4 linked regions of the Mus musculus genome follow. The protein of the gene in region 3 purifies or fractionates together with the protein of the main gene of each other region. This does not show direct contact. Links are inferred from orthologs where the notes say so. Each region holds a gene or a part of one and is shown on either strand. Other genes may lie near its edges.

The links.
Region 1: the proteins of Actr2 (region 3) and Coro1c fractionate together in Homo sapiens (co-fractionation; 3 studies listed by BioGRID and IntAct, with this or other methods). This does not show direct contact. The link is inferred for Mus musculus from reciprocal best matches to the Homo sapiens genes ACTR2 and CORO1C.
Region 2: the proteins of Actr2 (region 3) and Churc1 purify together in Homo sapiens (affinity purification with mass spectrometry; 4 studies listed by BioGRID and IntAct, with this or other methods). This does not show direct contact. The link is inferred for Mus musculus from reciprocal best matches to the Homo sapiens genes ACTR2 and CHURC1.
Region 4: the proteins of Actr2 (region 3) and Cttn purify together in Homo sapiens (affinity purification with mass spectrometry; 3 studies listed by BioGRID and IntAct, with this or other methods). This does not show direct contact. The link is inferred for Mus musculus from reciprocal best matches to the Homo sapiens genes ACTR2 and CTTN.

Annotation. Positions count from the first base shown.
Region 1 is NC_000071.6:113,905,907-113,910,054, reverse strand, and holds the start of Coro1c (coronin-1C), read left to right. Parts: upstream 1-1,348; 5' UTR 1,349-1,444; intron 1,445-4,148. UniProt on the Homo sapiens protein: Plays a role in directed cell migration by regulating the activation and subcellular location of RAC1. Increases the presence of activated RAC1 at the leading edge of migrating cells.
Region 2 is NC_000078.6:76,764,147-76,768,337, forward strand, and holds the start of Churc1 (protein Churchill), read left to right. Parts: upstream 1-1,391; 5' UTR 1,392-1,453; coding exon 1,454-1,492; intron 1,493-4,191. UniProt on the Homo sapiens protein: Transcriptional activator that mediates FGF signaling during neural development. Plays a role in the regulation of cell movement.
Region 3 is NC_000077.6:20,074,952-20,078,451, reverse strand, and holds part of Actr2 (actin-related protein 2), read left to right. Parts: intron 1-1,118; coding exon 1,119-1,264; intron 1,265-3,500. UniProt on the Homo sapiens protein: ATP-binding component of the Arp2/3 complex, a multiprotein complex that mediates actin polymerization upon stimulation by nucleation-promoting factor (NPF).
Region 4 is NC_000073.6:144,468,136-144,472,275, reverse strand, and holds the start of Cttn (src substrate cortactin), read left to right. Parts: upstream 1-1,340; 5' UTR 1,341-1,587; intron 1,588-4,140.

The DNA of each region.
Region 1 (4,148 bases), on a different chromosome or scaffold from region 3:
AAAATTGAGCTTTGCAGAGAGTAAAAACTTGCTGAGCAAGCTGCTTCATTCTGGTAGACCTAGATTTACACAACACATAATTTACACACACACACACACACACACACACACACACACACACTTTGCCTAATTTTATTTTATTTACTTATTTAGAGACAGAGTTTCTTTACATATCCCTGGATGTCCTGGAACTCAGTATGTAGACCAGGCTGGCCTGGAACTACTGACGGAGATCCACCTGCCTCAGCCTCCTCAGTGTTGGGACTAAAGGCGTGTGCCTTCTGTTTTGAGGTGGCAGTTTATCTTAATTCCTGCAACAAGAATTCAGGGGTTCTACCACTGAATGCCGACCACAGATTCCTGGACATCTCTGAGGCTAAAACAAAGTGAAAATTCATCCCTCTGCGAATTGTAAAGATGCCTTGCTTTGGGAAATAAATGGCCCAACCCCTCAGCTGGCCCAGATCTCTGGACGCAGTTTCCTTAGATCTTGGTATTTCAAAGCTTGATATTTCTGAAGGGGCTTTGGCTAATAGTGGGATAACCTTACACTCAAGATTAGGAAACTGAAATCCAAAGAGGTGAGTGAAATGGTCCCTGGGTCACTTCATTTGAGAGTAACAGGGCTAGGACACATATCCACGTGCTCATATGGAGGGACTTTAGCCAGGGAGTCTTCATTGCTTCTCCTTAGCTCTCTCTCATAGGTGTGGTCCAGCCCAAGGGTTGCCACCCTGCCCTGGAGAGTAGTGGGAGAGAGCGTGGGTGAGAGGGTTGAACCAGCCCTGATGGAGGTGGGGCTAAGAACTTGGGGCGGGGCTTACGGTTTAAGTACGCTCAGGGCTGTGGGCGGGGCTTGAGGTACAGCAAATAGGATGATCATAGGTTCCCCGGGTCTTCAGGAAATCCGAGCGGGGATTTGCGGCGCTCAACTGGGGGAAGCTAGGTTTTGGGGGCGGGGGGAAACCAAGCCCTGCTCACGGACTCGGTGGGCAGTTAGATGCGCTCAAACGACCATCCTCATAGAGAGGCTCTGCAGGGCCGTGGGTGGAGCTTAAGAACGCCCGCTCTGGTTCTAAAGACCTGGGTGGGGCTGGAAGGAGCCCGTGGGCGTGGCCACCCGGCCATTCAAGTGCCCCGGAAAGCGGGCGTGGGCTCCGAGTCTCCTTGCACCTCCCCGCGCCACCACAGGGGGCGCTCTAAGGAGAGCCGGGCATCTAACCGGGACCTTCCGGAAGTGGGCGTGGTGAAGCGTGGTTCGGCGGCGCTGGTTGGGCGCGGCCCCGGCGCGGGGGCGGGGCCCGCGCGCGCGAAGGCCTGGGCAGCGGCGGCCGCGCCCCTCCCCCGCGCGGCGCTCAGTGCCAGGCGGGAGGCGGCAGCGGTTGGAGGCTTCGCGGGGCTTTGCAGCAGGGACTTCGGCGGCGCCTCAGGCACCCGGGCTCTGGTAAGCAGCGCGCGCTCAGGACGGGGCAGCTCCGGAGCGAGCCCGGGGCGGGCGGGCCGGCCTCCGGGACCCCGCGTGTGAAGCTCTCGGCTGACAGGAGCCGGCGGCGCCGAGTGGTGCGGGGCGCACGCGCATGCCCCGGGCGCTGCGGCTGGGGAATGGCCGTCTGCGGGCAGCCGTGGGCCCGGCAGCCGTGAGGCGGTGTCTGAGCGCTGCGAAGAGCCTGCGGCCGAGCGCTCACGTGGGGCTGGGTCCGCGGGGGACCCCCGGTGTGCGGGGCGCGCCCGGGCGGGGCTCCGCCTGGCTCGCAGTGCATGGCCTCCTGGACCCTGAAGACCTGGGGCGGGGGCGGGCTGCAGTGGCGTGGCCTGGAGGAGGAACCCTGTCCCGGGTGCGGAACCTAGTGACCCGCGGGGCAGGTGGGGCTCAGCCGCGCCGAGATGGCTAGGATGACATCAGAGGTGGAGGGTGGGGACGCCCAGCCCAGCTCTGCCGCCGGTCCCCCGGCGGGCGTACGCACAGCAGCCCTATCTATCTCCAGTGATGTGAATGAGCTGGGGGGAAGTAGCCGGCTGCAGGGCTTTCGGAGAAGAAAGGGGCTTCCTCCCGGAGGGAGGTGCCGGCCCCGACGTCCTTTTTTGGGAGTGTTCAAAGGGTTTTTTTTTGCAGGCTGGAAAAGGAAATGCAGGCTTTCTCTCCGTCGTGGTTTAGAATCACATCCTATATTTGGCCTTCATGTAGGCTGCCCTTGTTTTGTGGTGTCAGAACGGCTTGCTCTACACATTTCGGTCGTGGGATTCAGAGTGAGAAGCAAATTGCAAGTTGTTCGTCTCTCCCGGAATTGCTTCCTGTAAGCATTTGAAAGAGAATTGACCGCAGAGCGTGCTTATTCGCAGGGCCACAATATGTTTAGTTTTGGAAATGGTTGGCACGAAATAATTGTACTCCCATCCCGTGGCCTTCCCTACCGGGATTATATTCTAAAACAGTACTTGCGAGGCTCTTAGTCACCCTATATAATAAAGCGTCTTATTGTCCTTGTCTGGCAGCACCCTGACACCAGGGCCTGCTAGTAGAGGGAAGAACATGATGAAGTACAAGTAGTTGCTTCCTGCCTCCTTCTCGGGTGTGAAGGCAAATGGTAGTTCATATTCCTGTCTGTCCGCAGCTTCAGAGCAGCTGAACACAGTGCTTGGTTCTGGACATGTTAGAGAACACTGACCTAGGGAGACTTGGGGAGTGTGTGTCACACGCAGTGATGTTTGGATAGCCAGCCTGACATTAAACATCGAATCTAGGCGGCGGTTACATATTGTACTGGCTGGTTTTCTGTCTAGCTTGACACAAGCCAGAGTCATCAGAGAGGAGGAAGCCTCAGTTGAGAAAAAGTGAGACTGAGGTTATAGAAAAGCCTGTGGGGCCTTTTCTTAATTGGTGATTCATGGTGGGAGGGCTGAGCCCATTGTGGGCGGGGCCACCCCTGGGCTTGCAGTCCTGCGTTCTATAAGAAAACAGGCTGACCAAGCCATGGGGAGCAAGACAGTAAGCAGCACCCCTCCATCAGCCTCTGCATCAGCCTCCTGCCTCCAAGTTCCCGCCCGCTAGAGTTCCTGTCCTGACTTCCTTTGATGATGAACTGTGATGTGGAAGTGTGAGCTGAATTAACCCTTTCCTCCCCAAGCTGTTTTGGTCCTGGTGTCTCATCACAGCAATAGTAACTAGAACTGAAACATATATAAACAGGAAAAAAAATGTGGTAGAGCAGAATTGCTTTATATCATAGCTCTACAAGTGCTCTGTCTTTTGGTAGTTGACAGTCACACACACAGACACATACTTTTTTAAGAAATCAGAACATGTTTTCTCTGTGTGTGTGTGTTTGTGTGCGTGCGTGCGCATGTGCGCGAGCGCATGTGTATTTTACTTGTGGACAGTACATTAAAGCCTGATGAATTTACAAGGTTTTTAAAAATTATTATTTTAAGGTGTGTGTGTGTGTGTGTGTGTGTGTGTGTGTTGGTGTTGTTGGTGGTTATGTGCATATATGTGCACCCTTGCTGGCCAGCGACATGAGATTCCCTGGAGCTGGAGTAGCAGAGGGTTGTGAGCCACCTGCCCAGGTGGAGTACTGACCGTGGGTTTTCTTGAAGTGCAGCAAGTGCTTCTAACTTAATCTTAGTCACATCTTTCCAGTCTCTTAAGTGTCATGAATTTATTTAACATAAATATCCTGGAGAAATGTCACTGCAGAAGCATTAGAGTTTTCATGGTTATTTGTTATTCCGACCAGATCACGCTAATCAGTATTTGTGTCTGTGTATAAATTAGGATTAGATTCCGGATTGCTAAATACCATTTTTAAACATTATTTCTGGGATCCACTCCAGCTGTGTGGGGAGTCGCTCTAGTGCTTATGTGATAGAATGTTTGAAATGATGTTATTAGTTTCTTAGCTAAATAAGTGGGGGTGTGGAAGACTCAGTTTTTTTACGAGAGCACAACATTCATTTAGTATTTTGATATGTCACAAACCGGTGCTTTAGAAACAGAGTAATTGAAGTGCCTGACCTCTCCCGGGGTGGGGTGGGGTGGGGGTGGGGTGGCCCAGTGCGAGCTACATTCAAACTCAGCCTACTGACCCGGTGCTGAAGGCCCCTGGGCTTGTGCTCCATCCGATGGCTTCCCTGTGTCGGGGAGCTATCAG
Region 2 (4,191 bases), on a different chromosome or scaffold from region 3:
ACAGACAACTAGGTTGATCTTAATTCTTGGTAGAGTAAATAAATCAGGAATAAACACAGGGGTGTAAATATTCCTATGTGTTCTGGGTAAATGCCCAGGAATAGAATAACAGGTTCATATGGTGATTCTAGTTTTAACTTTTTGAGTAGTCACCAAACTGATTCTACAATGTCTGTATTTTAATTTGCACTCCCACCAACAGTGACTAACAGTTCCTTTCTCTCCACATCCTTCCCAGCATTTGTCATCAGATTTATTGATGAGAGCCATTCCGACAGGGGTGAGAGGGTATCTAAAAAATAATTTTAATTTGCACTTCCCTGATGTTTGAGGACAATGAACACTTATTGGCCATGTTTTGTTTTTTTTTTTAATTTTGAAAAGTGTCTATTCAATTCATTTGCCCATTTATTGACTGGCAGTTTTGTTTCCTTGGTATTTAGTTTCTGCAATTCTTATAAATTCTGGATATTTGCCTCTTGTTTGAAATATGGCTGGTAAAGATGTTTCCCATGCTGAGGACTGTTTTTTTCTGCTAATTGTGTCCTTTGCTGAATAGAAACTTTTCGTGTAGTCCGTTGATACTAAGGGTTAGTTTCTGTTAGTGTTAGTGTTCCTGTGCTAATTAAAAAGTTCTTGTCCAAAGCAGTGTCTTTTTTAAAAAATTTACTTTTATTTTATGCACATTGCCTGCATGTGTGTTTGTGTTAGGGTGTCAGATCTTGGAGTTACAGACAGTTGTGAGCTGCCATGTGAGTTCTGGGAAGTGAAATTGGGTCCTCTGGAAGAGCATTCAGTGTTCCTAATGGCTAAGCCATCTCTCCAGCCCCTCCAACCCAATATCTTGACAACTATCCCCTATGTTTTCTTCTGGAAGTTTCAGTGTTTCCTGTTTTAGATAATGGGTTTTGATCCATTTTTGAATTGATTTTTGTACAAGGCGTATGATAAGAATCTAATTTAAATAATTTAGTAGGTTCTCGACAGCGCTCTAAGCTTCTCTTCCCAAACACCAGCTTACTCCTTCTCTGAAGTCTGATCTCTTATCTGTTATTATAGCACAAAATGGTATTTAAACTGTCATTTCAGGTTTTTTGAGTCTGGTAAAAATGGAGGCAAGAAGAAACAATTCCCCTTTTTGCTGTACTTCTGTAATTCTTTTTTAATCAGAATTCAAGAAGGCGCCTATTAGAAGTTCTTTCAGGCTCAAAGCCTCTTCCTCTTTTCGACACTTCTTTGAGTCCTCAGATCTTTTCAATACCTGAAGATTTTTGAGTCCAGTCCTCGGTGCACCCTCCTTACCCGGAGACCGCCTAACAACCGTTGCTATGGGCGGAGACTTTTAGCCAGCTGTGGAGTCCTTAGATCGTGTGCGACAAAATCGATATCTCAACTCTCGCGAGGTTTCGCCTTCCGGGTGTCGCTGGGGTCGTTCTCCGAAAACTGCGTGACGATGTGTGGGGACTGTGTGGAGAAGGAGTACCCCAATCGGGTGAGCAAGTGGGCGCGAAGAGCCTCTCGCAGGCTCGGTGTTCGACCGATATTCCTAGACAGGCCAGGGGCCCACTCTGCAGTCCTGTCACCCCAGTGACCCTGAGTACCGGCCGCAGGTTCCCTCTGGTGGCTGACGTCAGCGGTCCTTCCGGTTCTGTTGCTGGGGACAACGGGGAACCCTCAAAATTACCTACCCACCCAAATTGACAGCAGCCTCTGAGGCCCTGACGCGATCCCGGCTTCATCCTCCAGCTCGACTTGATGGAATTCTTTTTACCTCATTCTGTCGCTGAATGAACGTATGAGGTCATTTTAAAATCCACCTTTTTTGAGACAGGTTTTGTGTAGCCCAGGCTGGTTTCGAACTCTCTATGTACCCGAGGAGGATTTTGTTTGACTTTGATCCTCCTTCCACATACCTCTTGAACGCTGGCATTACAAGCGCGCGCCACTGGGCTCAATTTAGAAAATGTTAGGGATGGAAGTGAGAGCTTGGTGCGGAGGCAAGCTTGCCACCGACTGAGCTACACTTCCAGCCTCTGGTTCTAACCCACGTTTGAAGATGGCAGAACTGGTCCCCAGAGAGGACCTATCACCTGCCCAAGTATGAGAGCCGAGACTAGATTGTGATCTCCCTCTCCGCCTCGTCCCGTTCTCTTTTCCTTGCGCCTTCCCTTTCCCCTTCCCTTCTTAGCACTGAGGCCTGACCCCAGCATGTGTCCCTACCAGGCAAGCACTCTGCCAACAGAACTATACCCCCTGCTCTTATTTTAAGCCTTTGCGCCTCTCGGGCTTAGGAGGTTTTGAGGCTTGGCTCTTACTGTTCTTTCAGGGAATCACTACTGCACGTTGATGTGTGTAGAGAGTGCTTGGCTGCTCTGTGAAGGAGTGACTGCCAAGGCTCTGGGGCTGCTTCTGGGCTTGCAATTTGGGGGCATAGGATTGACAGGCTGCTGTTTAAACGTAGTGAAAAGGAAGATTGAGCAGGAATGGGGCTGCGGTGTTCTCCTTCCACATAAGGTGGGTTTGGACGATGATTTAGAGGAGGAAGGATCTGCAGGACAATAGCAAGATGAAGGACCCTTGAGTTGGCTGGGAGGGAAAACATCCTCATAGTTCTTTCTCTTAATAGTTTGTGAGTGATGGGCACACACCTCTAATCCCAGCACTGGGGAGACAGAGGCAAGCAGATCTCCAAGTTCAAGGCCAGCCTGGTCTATAGAGCTAGTTTGAGGACAGCTAGAGCTACACTGAGAAACCCTGTCTTGAAAAAACAACAAAAACCCCACAAAAAGAAAACTTCTTTTTTGAGTTATATGTAAGTCTTTTGAGATTGTTATGTTAGAGGAATTTTCATTATGGTACAACCACTTTGGTTTATAAAGTCATTACCATTCATTATCAAATTTAAATGTCCCCTGGAATGACACAGAAGTGCTTATCCCGGAAAAATGCACGTGCTCTCATCTCCTGGCAACGTGTATAAGAATGCTTGTAAGATCATTATTTGTCGTAGGCCAGAGCAAAACTCGTGTTCGTAAAAGGAAATGTCTTAAGAGTAGGGTTGTGGGCTGGAGAGATGGTTCAGCGGTTAAGAGCACTGACTGCTCTTCTGAAAGTCCTGAGTTCAATTCCCAGCAACCACATGGTGGCTCACAACCATCTGTAATGGAATCTGATGCCCTCTTCTGGTGTGTCTGAAGACAGCTTCAGTGTACTCATATAAAGAGTAGGGTTGTGAGTGTGAATTAGATTTAGAGTATCAGCTCTCAAGTGGAAGCGGTTTGGCAATATCTAGAGACACTTGATTGTCACAGTGAAGGCGCTCCTTGGCATCTAGTGGGTAGAGACCGAGTATTATACTGCAGTGCACAGGACAGCCATCTAACCGAAGGTCTGTATGCCCCAGTGTCAGTAGTGCAGACGTTAAAGAACCCAGAATTACAGCAATGGGAGCACTAGAATCAGATACAGCAGCCTGACTTTAGTCTGACAGTATTGGCGAAAGAACACATGAAGTGCAGCTTTAAATGAAGCAGACTAAATTACAGTAAGACTTTCCTGGTTGGTAAAACAAGAAGTTACTCTAAAGACATTGTGTTGATGGCTGCTAGACAGAGTATGATCGAGAGTGGTTATATAAGGGGCCAGAGAGATTGCTCGGTGATTGGTGCTTTTGCAAAGGACCTGGATTCAGTTCCTGGCATGGCAGCTAGCAACTGTCTATAACTCCAGTTCTGGGGATCCAACTGTCTGGTCTCCATGAGTACTAGGCAGGCATTGATATACATGAAATAACTGTAAATCTCTCAACAACAAAAAGTCGGAGAGAGGCTTCTGGAATATAAGAAGTGGGGGTTTTTTGTTTGTTTTTTTTTTGTTTTTTGTTTTTTTACATAACTGGTGGTTCTGCTGTTTGCTTATAATTATTGTTATGTTTCTGCTTTTATTATTTTTCTATATTGTTTTAGTTCATACTCTTTTTTAAAATTTATTTATTTATTATATGTAAGTACACTGTAGCTATCTTCAGACACTCCAGAAGAGGGAGTCAGATCTCGTTAACGGATGGTTGTGAGCCACCATGTGGTTGCTGGGATGTGAACTCCAGACCTTTAGAAGAGCAGTCGGGTGCTCTTACCCACTGAGCCATCTCACCAACCCTCATACTCTTTTTTTTAATTAGGTATTTTCTTC
Region 3 (3,500 bases):
AGCTCAGCCTGGACTAATAGCCAGGCCATCTTAACCCCGCTTTCCCCTTTCCAACACCCCCACAAAAACAAAACCTGAGACATGGTGGTGCCCACCTGTAACTTCAGTAAATTTGATATGGGGCTGAAACGTTACTGAGTTTGAGGCCCACCTGTGTATATAGGTCAGCCTCAGACTCTGAATGACTGCCAGGCACAGTGTGCCCACCTGTAATCTCAGCACTTGGGAGCCAGGCACAGGAGAATCTCTCTCTGTAAGCCTGAGGCAGACAAACCAGCCATACAGACCAGAGTTCAGCAGGTAAGGGATTTCTGCGTAAGTCATGTTAAAGTGTTGGACTGTCTAAATCTTACTGGCTTAAGTTAAGGTTATAGTTACCACTTAGATAAAGTTATTTAAGATGCAGTAGCATAAAAAATTTTCTAAATCAGTGTTCCTTAAATTTTTGTTTTGTTTTGAGATAATGTCTCAATAGGTAACAGCCCAAGCCGGCCTTGAATCCATGATCCTCTTGCCTCAAGAGCATTGGCATTGCAGGTTATGCATCATGCCCAGCTGCGGCTGTGGTTGGTTGGCTTGGCTGGTTGGTTGGTTTTTTTTTTTTTTTTTTTTTTTTAAAGATTTATTTATTTATTACATGTAAGTACATTGTAGCTGTCTTCAGACACTCCAGAAGAGGGAGTCAGATCTCATTACAGATGGTTGTGAGCCACCATGTGGTTGCTGGGATTTGAACTTCGGACCTTCGGAAGAGCAGTCGGGTGCTCTTACCCACTGAGCCATCTCACCAGCCCGGTTGGTTGGTTTTTAAGAAAGAAAATGTGTGTGTGCACATGTGTAAATCAAAGGATAGCTTTTGGGGGTCAGTTTTTGCTCTCTGCCTTGTTGAGATGCTGCCTCTTCTTGAGTACATTGCTAGCTACTAAGAAAAACGATCAATAGAGTATGTATGATGCTAGCATTATCATTTGAGTTATTTTGTTTCACCTAAGAATACTTTAGGAAGTCTTACTGCTTTTACATAATTTTGATTGCAGGCCAGATGTATTTAAAACACTCATTGTGCAGAGAATGCAGAGAAGTTGTGGTTTTGCTGACACCTGGTTATTTCTTTCTAGCTTCCAGATGGACGTATCATTAAGGTTGGAGGAGAACGATTTGAAGCACCAGAGGCTTTATTTCAGCCTCATTTGATCAATGTCGAGGGGGTTGGTGTTGCTGAACTGCTTTTTAACACAATCCAGGCAGCCGACATTGATACCAGGTACAGTAGACAGCATTTCCAAGTCATTTATAAGACACGGATAGGCCACAGAGATGGCTCAGCAGTTAAGAGCATTTGCTGTTTGTCTAGAGGACCTGAGTTCCATTCCTAGCACCCATATCAGACAGCTCACATCTCTGAGCCTGTGACTCAGCAGCACTGGCCTCTTGTGGGAGCCTGCATTTATGCACACAGCATTGCCGTGCAGATGCACAACACATCTAGACATGGTTTAAAACAATAAGAACAAAATGGTTTTAGTTTTGTTTTTGGTTTGTTTGAGTTTTAAGGCAGGGTTTCTCTGTATATAGCCCTGGCTGCCCTGGCTTGCTCTGTAGACCAGGCTGGCCTCAAACTCAGAGGTCTGTCTGTCTCTCCCTCTCTGCCTCTCTGCTTCTCTGCCAAATGCTGGGATTAAAGGTGTATGATATTTTCTCCTTAACTTGTATCTCCTTTTTGGATAGAGGTATAATCTGATGTTTTGTAAAACCAAGGATATGTTTTGTAGAGCATGGTGTGGTTAAATGGGAGGAATCCCCACTGAGGTAGCAGCCAGTATAGAATAGGGTTTATTTGGGTGCATGGGATGGGGGGTTGAGAAGGGAGTAGAGGCAGAGGAAAAAGGAAAGGAGAGAGAGAAAGAGAAGAGAAGAGGCTGGCCAGGAACATGGGGGAGGGGGTGTCAGAGAGAGAAGGGAAGCCAAACAGTCCCTTTTGTAGCAAGCCAGACCTACCTGGCTGTTGCTAGGTAACTGTTCGGCAGAGACTAGAAAGAATGCTAACAAATTCAGTTAGAGTACATGAAACACTGGGTTTGATTTACAGCACTGCACGTGTTTTAATTCTATTTCAGTTAGCTAGCTAGCTAGTTAGTTATCTGGTGTGTATGTTTTGATGGTGATGGTGGGTTCCATGGCACACTTGTGGAAAGTCAGGAGTTGGCTTTATTTCCTTCCTCCATTTGGATTCCAGGGATCAACCTGAAGTCATCAGGATTGGCAGGAGGTATCTTTCCCCACTGAACCATCTCACCAGATCTTTAAATGTAGCTAGTTAATTTTTTCTTTTTTTAAACAGGGTCTCACTGTGTAGTCCTAAGAATAGGCTGGCCTTGAATTCAGAGATCCTCCTGCCTCTGCTGGAGTTAAAGGCATGTGCCACCAAGCCCAGCTTAAGTTTTTTTTTTTTTTTTTTTTTTAATTGACAAAAGTTCTGTTTATGAGCCGGGCATGGTGGCACACGCCTTTAATCCCAGCACTCGGGAGGCAGAGGCAGGTGGATTTCTGAGTTCCGAGGCCAGCCTGGTCTACAAAGTGAGCTCCAGGACAGCCAGGGCTATACAGAGAAACCCTGTCTCCAAAAAACCAAAAAAACAAAAAAAAACAAAAAAAGTTCTGTTTATGATATATAACATGATGTCTTGAATTTTAATTGAGTATACATTACTGTACATACAACTTTTTTGATGAGCACTCTTAAAATCCCAGTGCTTTTCAGATATATTTTAGAAACAGAATCTGTGTTTGGTGATAGGCCTCCTATCTAACTGAATTTGTATAGCTTTTGATTAGCAGCTCCTCTGTTGAGTCACCAGCTCGTTGTCCTTGGTAACCATCTTACTCTCCTCTGCTACTGGATTCAGCATCAGATTCCATGTAAATAGGGCCATGCAGTATTTGCCTTTCTCTGCCTGGCTTCATCTAACATAATTTCTTCCATGTCTGTCTTCATTGCTACAAATTACAAGGTTTCTTTTTTTAAGGGAGAATTACATTCTATTGTGTATTCCAATTTCTTTTTTATTCTTTTTTTTTTTTTTTTTTTTTTGGTTTTTCGAGACAGGGTTTCTCTGTATAGCCCTGGCTGTCTTGGAACTCACTTTGTAGACCAGGCTGGCCTCGAACTCAGAAATCCACCTGCCTCTGCCTCCCAAGTGCTGGGATTAAAGGCGTGCGCCACCACGCCCGGCTCTTTTTTATTCTTTGAGATATGTATTTAGTGGTGGATTGCTGAATTGTTTGTTAGTTCCGTCTTTAGTTTTGGGGAACGTTTCTATTCTGTTATCTGTAATGGTGATCATAGTTTATGTCTGGGCTTCTTAAACTTTTCACTTATGATACCCCCTATGTTAGGGTTTCCTAGAGTAACAAAACTTACAGAATAAAATGTGTTTTTGTGTGTGTGTGTGTGTGTGTGTGTGTGTGTGTGTATTCTCTCTCTCTCTCTCTCTCACACA
Region 4 (4,140 bases), on a different chromosome or scaffold from region 3:
GAAGCAAAGACAGGAGGATCTCTGGGGCCTGCTGACCAGCCAGCTTAGCCTAGTGGATGAACTGCAGGCCAGAGAGATCCTGTCTCAAGCAGTGAGTGGCCTTCCTGAGGAAGATGCCAGAATGTGTCCTTGGACCTCTGTATGTGTGCTCATGCAGTTGAATGCACACTTACATGTGAATTGTGCACACACACATGGGAACATTCTCCTCTGACACCTGACATCTCTTTTTCCTTCCTGATCTATTCATAAATTTTGACAGTTTAGCCTTTTGTTTTCTGCCTTGTGGTGCTAAGGTTGGTACCAGGGCCCTGTACATACTAGACAGGCACTCTACCACTGAATTACATCCCTAACCTCCCTCTTTCATCTCCTTTCTCCTCCTCCTCCTTCTGGAGAGGGGGGCAGGAGAGACAGAATCCCTCACTTGGCTGATCAGGACCAGACTGGCCTCTAAGTGATCCACTTGGCCGCTGCCTTATTAGCTAGCTTTGTTATACAGTCCAGGACACCTGTCTAGGGATGGACCACAGTGGGTTGGCCCTCCTGTATCAAGACAATCATGCCCACAGAATAACCTAAATAAGACAAGTACACATTTGAGATTTTTTTAAAAAAAAATGTGATTCTAGGCTGTTTCAAGTTGACAGTTAATGTCAACTAGGACAGATAGATGAGTGGATGGATAGATAAGTAGATGGATGGTTGACACATGGGTGTATAGGTGACATGTTGGTTAGTTTTTGTCAACTTGACACTAGAGTAATCTTGGAAGAGGAAACCTCAGTTGATGAATTGCCATCAGACTGGCCTGTAGGCTAGTCTGTGGGGGCATTTTCTTGGTTACTGATTGATTCAGAAGGGCCCAACCCACCGTTGTGGGTTGCCACCCTTACACTGGTAGACCTGGGATGTGAAAGAAAGGCTGAGCAAGCCAGTATGCAGCACTCCTTCATAGTCTCTGTTTCAGTTCCTGCCCTGCCTGAGTTCCTGTTCTAACTTCCTTCCCTCAGTGATGGACTATAATTTATGAGCCAAATAAGCAGTTTTCTCCCCAAGCTGTATTTGATCAGTTCTTTTTGTTTTGTTTTGTTTTGTTTGTTTTTCGAGACAGGGTTCAGTTTTTTGATCACAATAGGAAGCAGATAGATGGAAGAATGGATGAACAGATGTATGGCTAGATGAGTGGGTGTATGGGTAGATGGGCAGAAGGACAGATTGGTGGATTGGTGGGTAGAAGATTGACAGGGGAGTGAATGATGCTGTGTAGATCCATGCGTGGGTAGAGAGTTGCAGGGTGGATACATGGTTGGAAGCTGGGTTGAGGGTGAATGTGTGTTGGACAGGGCTTGACGGGTGTTTCTAAATCGGATCTCCGCAGCTGACTGGCGGCCGAGCTGCCTATGAGTCCTGGAACTGTGTATCCTGCTTTCTTGATCAGCTAACAGGAATACGGGGCGGGGACGGCCTGGAATAGGGCGGGATCTTGCGTGGCCCCGGATGCGGCCCCGCCTCCGCGGAACCGGAAGTGAGCGGGCACAGGGAGCGGCGGGGCGCGGCGGGAGCCTGGTGGACCCTGCTGGTGCGGTGAGCGGGGGATGGGCGTCCTAGAGAGCTGCTGGGGGACAGGAAGGGTGTGGGATGATGAGTTGTCAGGGTGCCGGGCCTGGACGGGAGGTTGGGGTACAGGGTCTGGACTGGGCCCAGGTGATCCGAGTGCGGGGCAGGGTCGGGGCCCAGGGGTGCAGGGCCAGGATCTGTTGGTCGAGGCCTCGGAGTGTAGGGCTGGGACCCCTGAGTCAGGATTCCAGGCCAAAACCCGGTGTTCGCGGTGTGGGGCCGGGATTGTGACTTGGGGTGTGTGGCTGGGGTCGGGCGTCGGGACCCGGGCTGCAGGGCTAGGATCGGGGGTTGGAGTGCAGTGCTAGGAGGGGGAACCGGGGTGCAGAGTCAAGGCCAAGGGTTCGCGGTGTGGGTCCGAAATCGGGGGGTTGGGGTTGTGGTGTGGCGCTGGGATTCGGGATTCGGGGTGTAGGGCCAGGATTGGAGGCTCAAAGTCCCGGGTCGCAGGGTCTGGATGGGGACGTCGGAGCCCCGGGTATTGGGCAAGGATCGGAGGTTTCGGACACCAATGCTGAGCCGTTCATCCCGTCATTTGTGGAGTAGCTAGGGGTGCACAGCCGGTCTGGCTCTGAGGGGGCGGGCCCTAGGACACAGGCCCTAGGAATTTTGGACATAAAGAAAGGGGTGGGGTTTCAGAGCAGGAACCCAGGATGAAGTGCTAAGTCGGTTTGGGGTGTTCTAGGTCAGAGTGCATAATTATGGGTCTGTGGTAGTCAGAGTACCAGAACCTGGGAAAAGAATGTAGACCTGAGGCCTGGGAGATGCTGGTGGGGGTAAGGGGACTTTGCTTCTAGAATCTAGTGGAATGATGAGGGCCTGGGGGAAGCTGGTGGGCCTGGGGAGCCTGGGGTTCCAGAACCCAGTGGAATTATGAGGGTCCAAGGACCTGTAGGAAGTTGGTAAGGCTGAGCAGCCGGGTTCCAGCATTGGTCTCTAGTCCTCAGGACTGGGCTGAGAGGCCAACATCTGAGGAAAGGCCTGGGCACCTGAGGGAAATTTGCAATGGGGTCAATGGAAATCCAAGCGCCTAGCTTGCTTCCTGGAGCTAAGGAGCCTGGAATCCAGCCGCCCCTCCTCCTGGGTGTGTGCCCAGTCACTGCAGAGGTGTTTGGGCCTGGTATGTTCCTTTGTTTCCTCTTGGTCCGTGTGAGGGATGGGGACTTGTGGCCAGGGAGAAGGAATTCCCTGTTGTGCCCAGTGAAGCAAGCAGAGGCTTTAGCCCTTCCTAGTGGTTTGCCCTGGCTGCACTGCCTGGGCCTTGCCAGTAAGTAGCCCAAGCTCCAGTAAGTCCTCACCACCCAGTAGACCCTCACAGTCAGAACTTACAGCCCACCCCCCACCCCCCTCCCCCAGCGTCCACCAGGGGTCAGGCCTCTGCTGGCTCACCCAGAGTGAGTCACCAGTTCAGGCCCTGAGTCAACACTGCTTCTCTGTTTGACTGAGAAGGTTGTCACCAGAAGTTTGAAGGAGGGAGAAGCAGCTTTTGTGGGAGCTTCAGATGTAGAAGAGTGCAGAGGTGGGGTTGAAGAACTGATTGTGGTACTAGGTCTCCAGAGCACCCTGGGCCTTGCTAGACAGCTTCTCCACCCAACTTTAGCCCTGGCCCTAGAGCTGACCTTTAATTGAGGGCTTATGACAGTTATGCCTTTAACACCTTGTAAAATGCCAGGGAATTTAATTGGCCCTTCAGACTTTGACCTGTTAGTCGGGAAGGCACCTGGCATAACTCCGCACCGTCCTGAGCATCCTTACCTCCTTGTGCCCCTGGTCTTTGTCCTGGGCATGGTCGTGTCTGCCTACCAGCTTGTCTCTTAATGGAGTCCTGGGCAGGCTAGCCTACTCCGTCTGTGCACTGGCCTCCATAGGCATGGGGTGGGGGTTGCCCTTTCCATAACAACTCCTGACCCAGCCACCTTTGCTCCGCTGCGCTATAGGTATCAGGTTCAGGGCCTCAAGATGGTGGATTCCTCCATCCTGTGACTAGGTCCTCTCTGACTGAGCTTCGTGCTGGCTGTGTGGGGCTGAGTGGCTTTCTCTGTCCCCGTCTGATTTCTATCAGCTTTATTGATATTTCACCCTACACGTGATCACCCGATTGAAGGGTTCAGTGGTTATCGATGTATTCAGAGTTGTACAGCCATCACCACAAACAGTTTTGGCCTTCTCAGAGATCTACATAGAATGTGCATGCCCATGGTCCCAGTGGCTGGGAATGCTGAAGCAGAGGACCTTAAGACCAAGGAGTTCTGGCCAGCCTAGGAACAAACCTGGAGTCTGTCTGTCTGTATGTGTCTCTCTTTCTACTCCTCCCTCCCACTCCCTTTTTGGTGGTGGTTGGGATGCATTTGAGACGGATCTCTATAGCTTTGATTAACCGGAAACTCACTACGTACACCAGCATGCCCCCTACACTTGCAGCCATCCTCCTGCCTCCTGAGTGTTGGGATTATAGGCTGTGGGCACACACTATCAAGCTGGGCCGCTCTGCTCTGTCCTTTAGAAAAGAACGAAACTGGA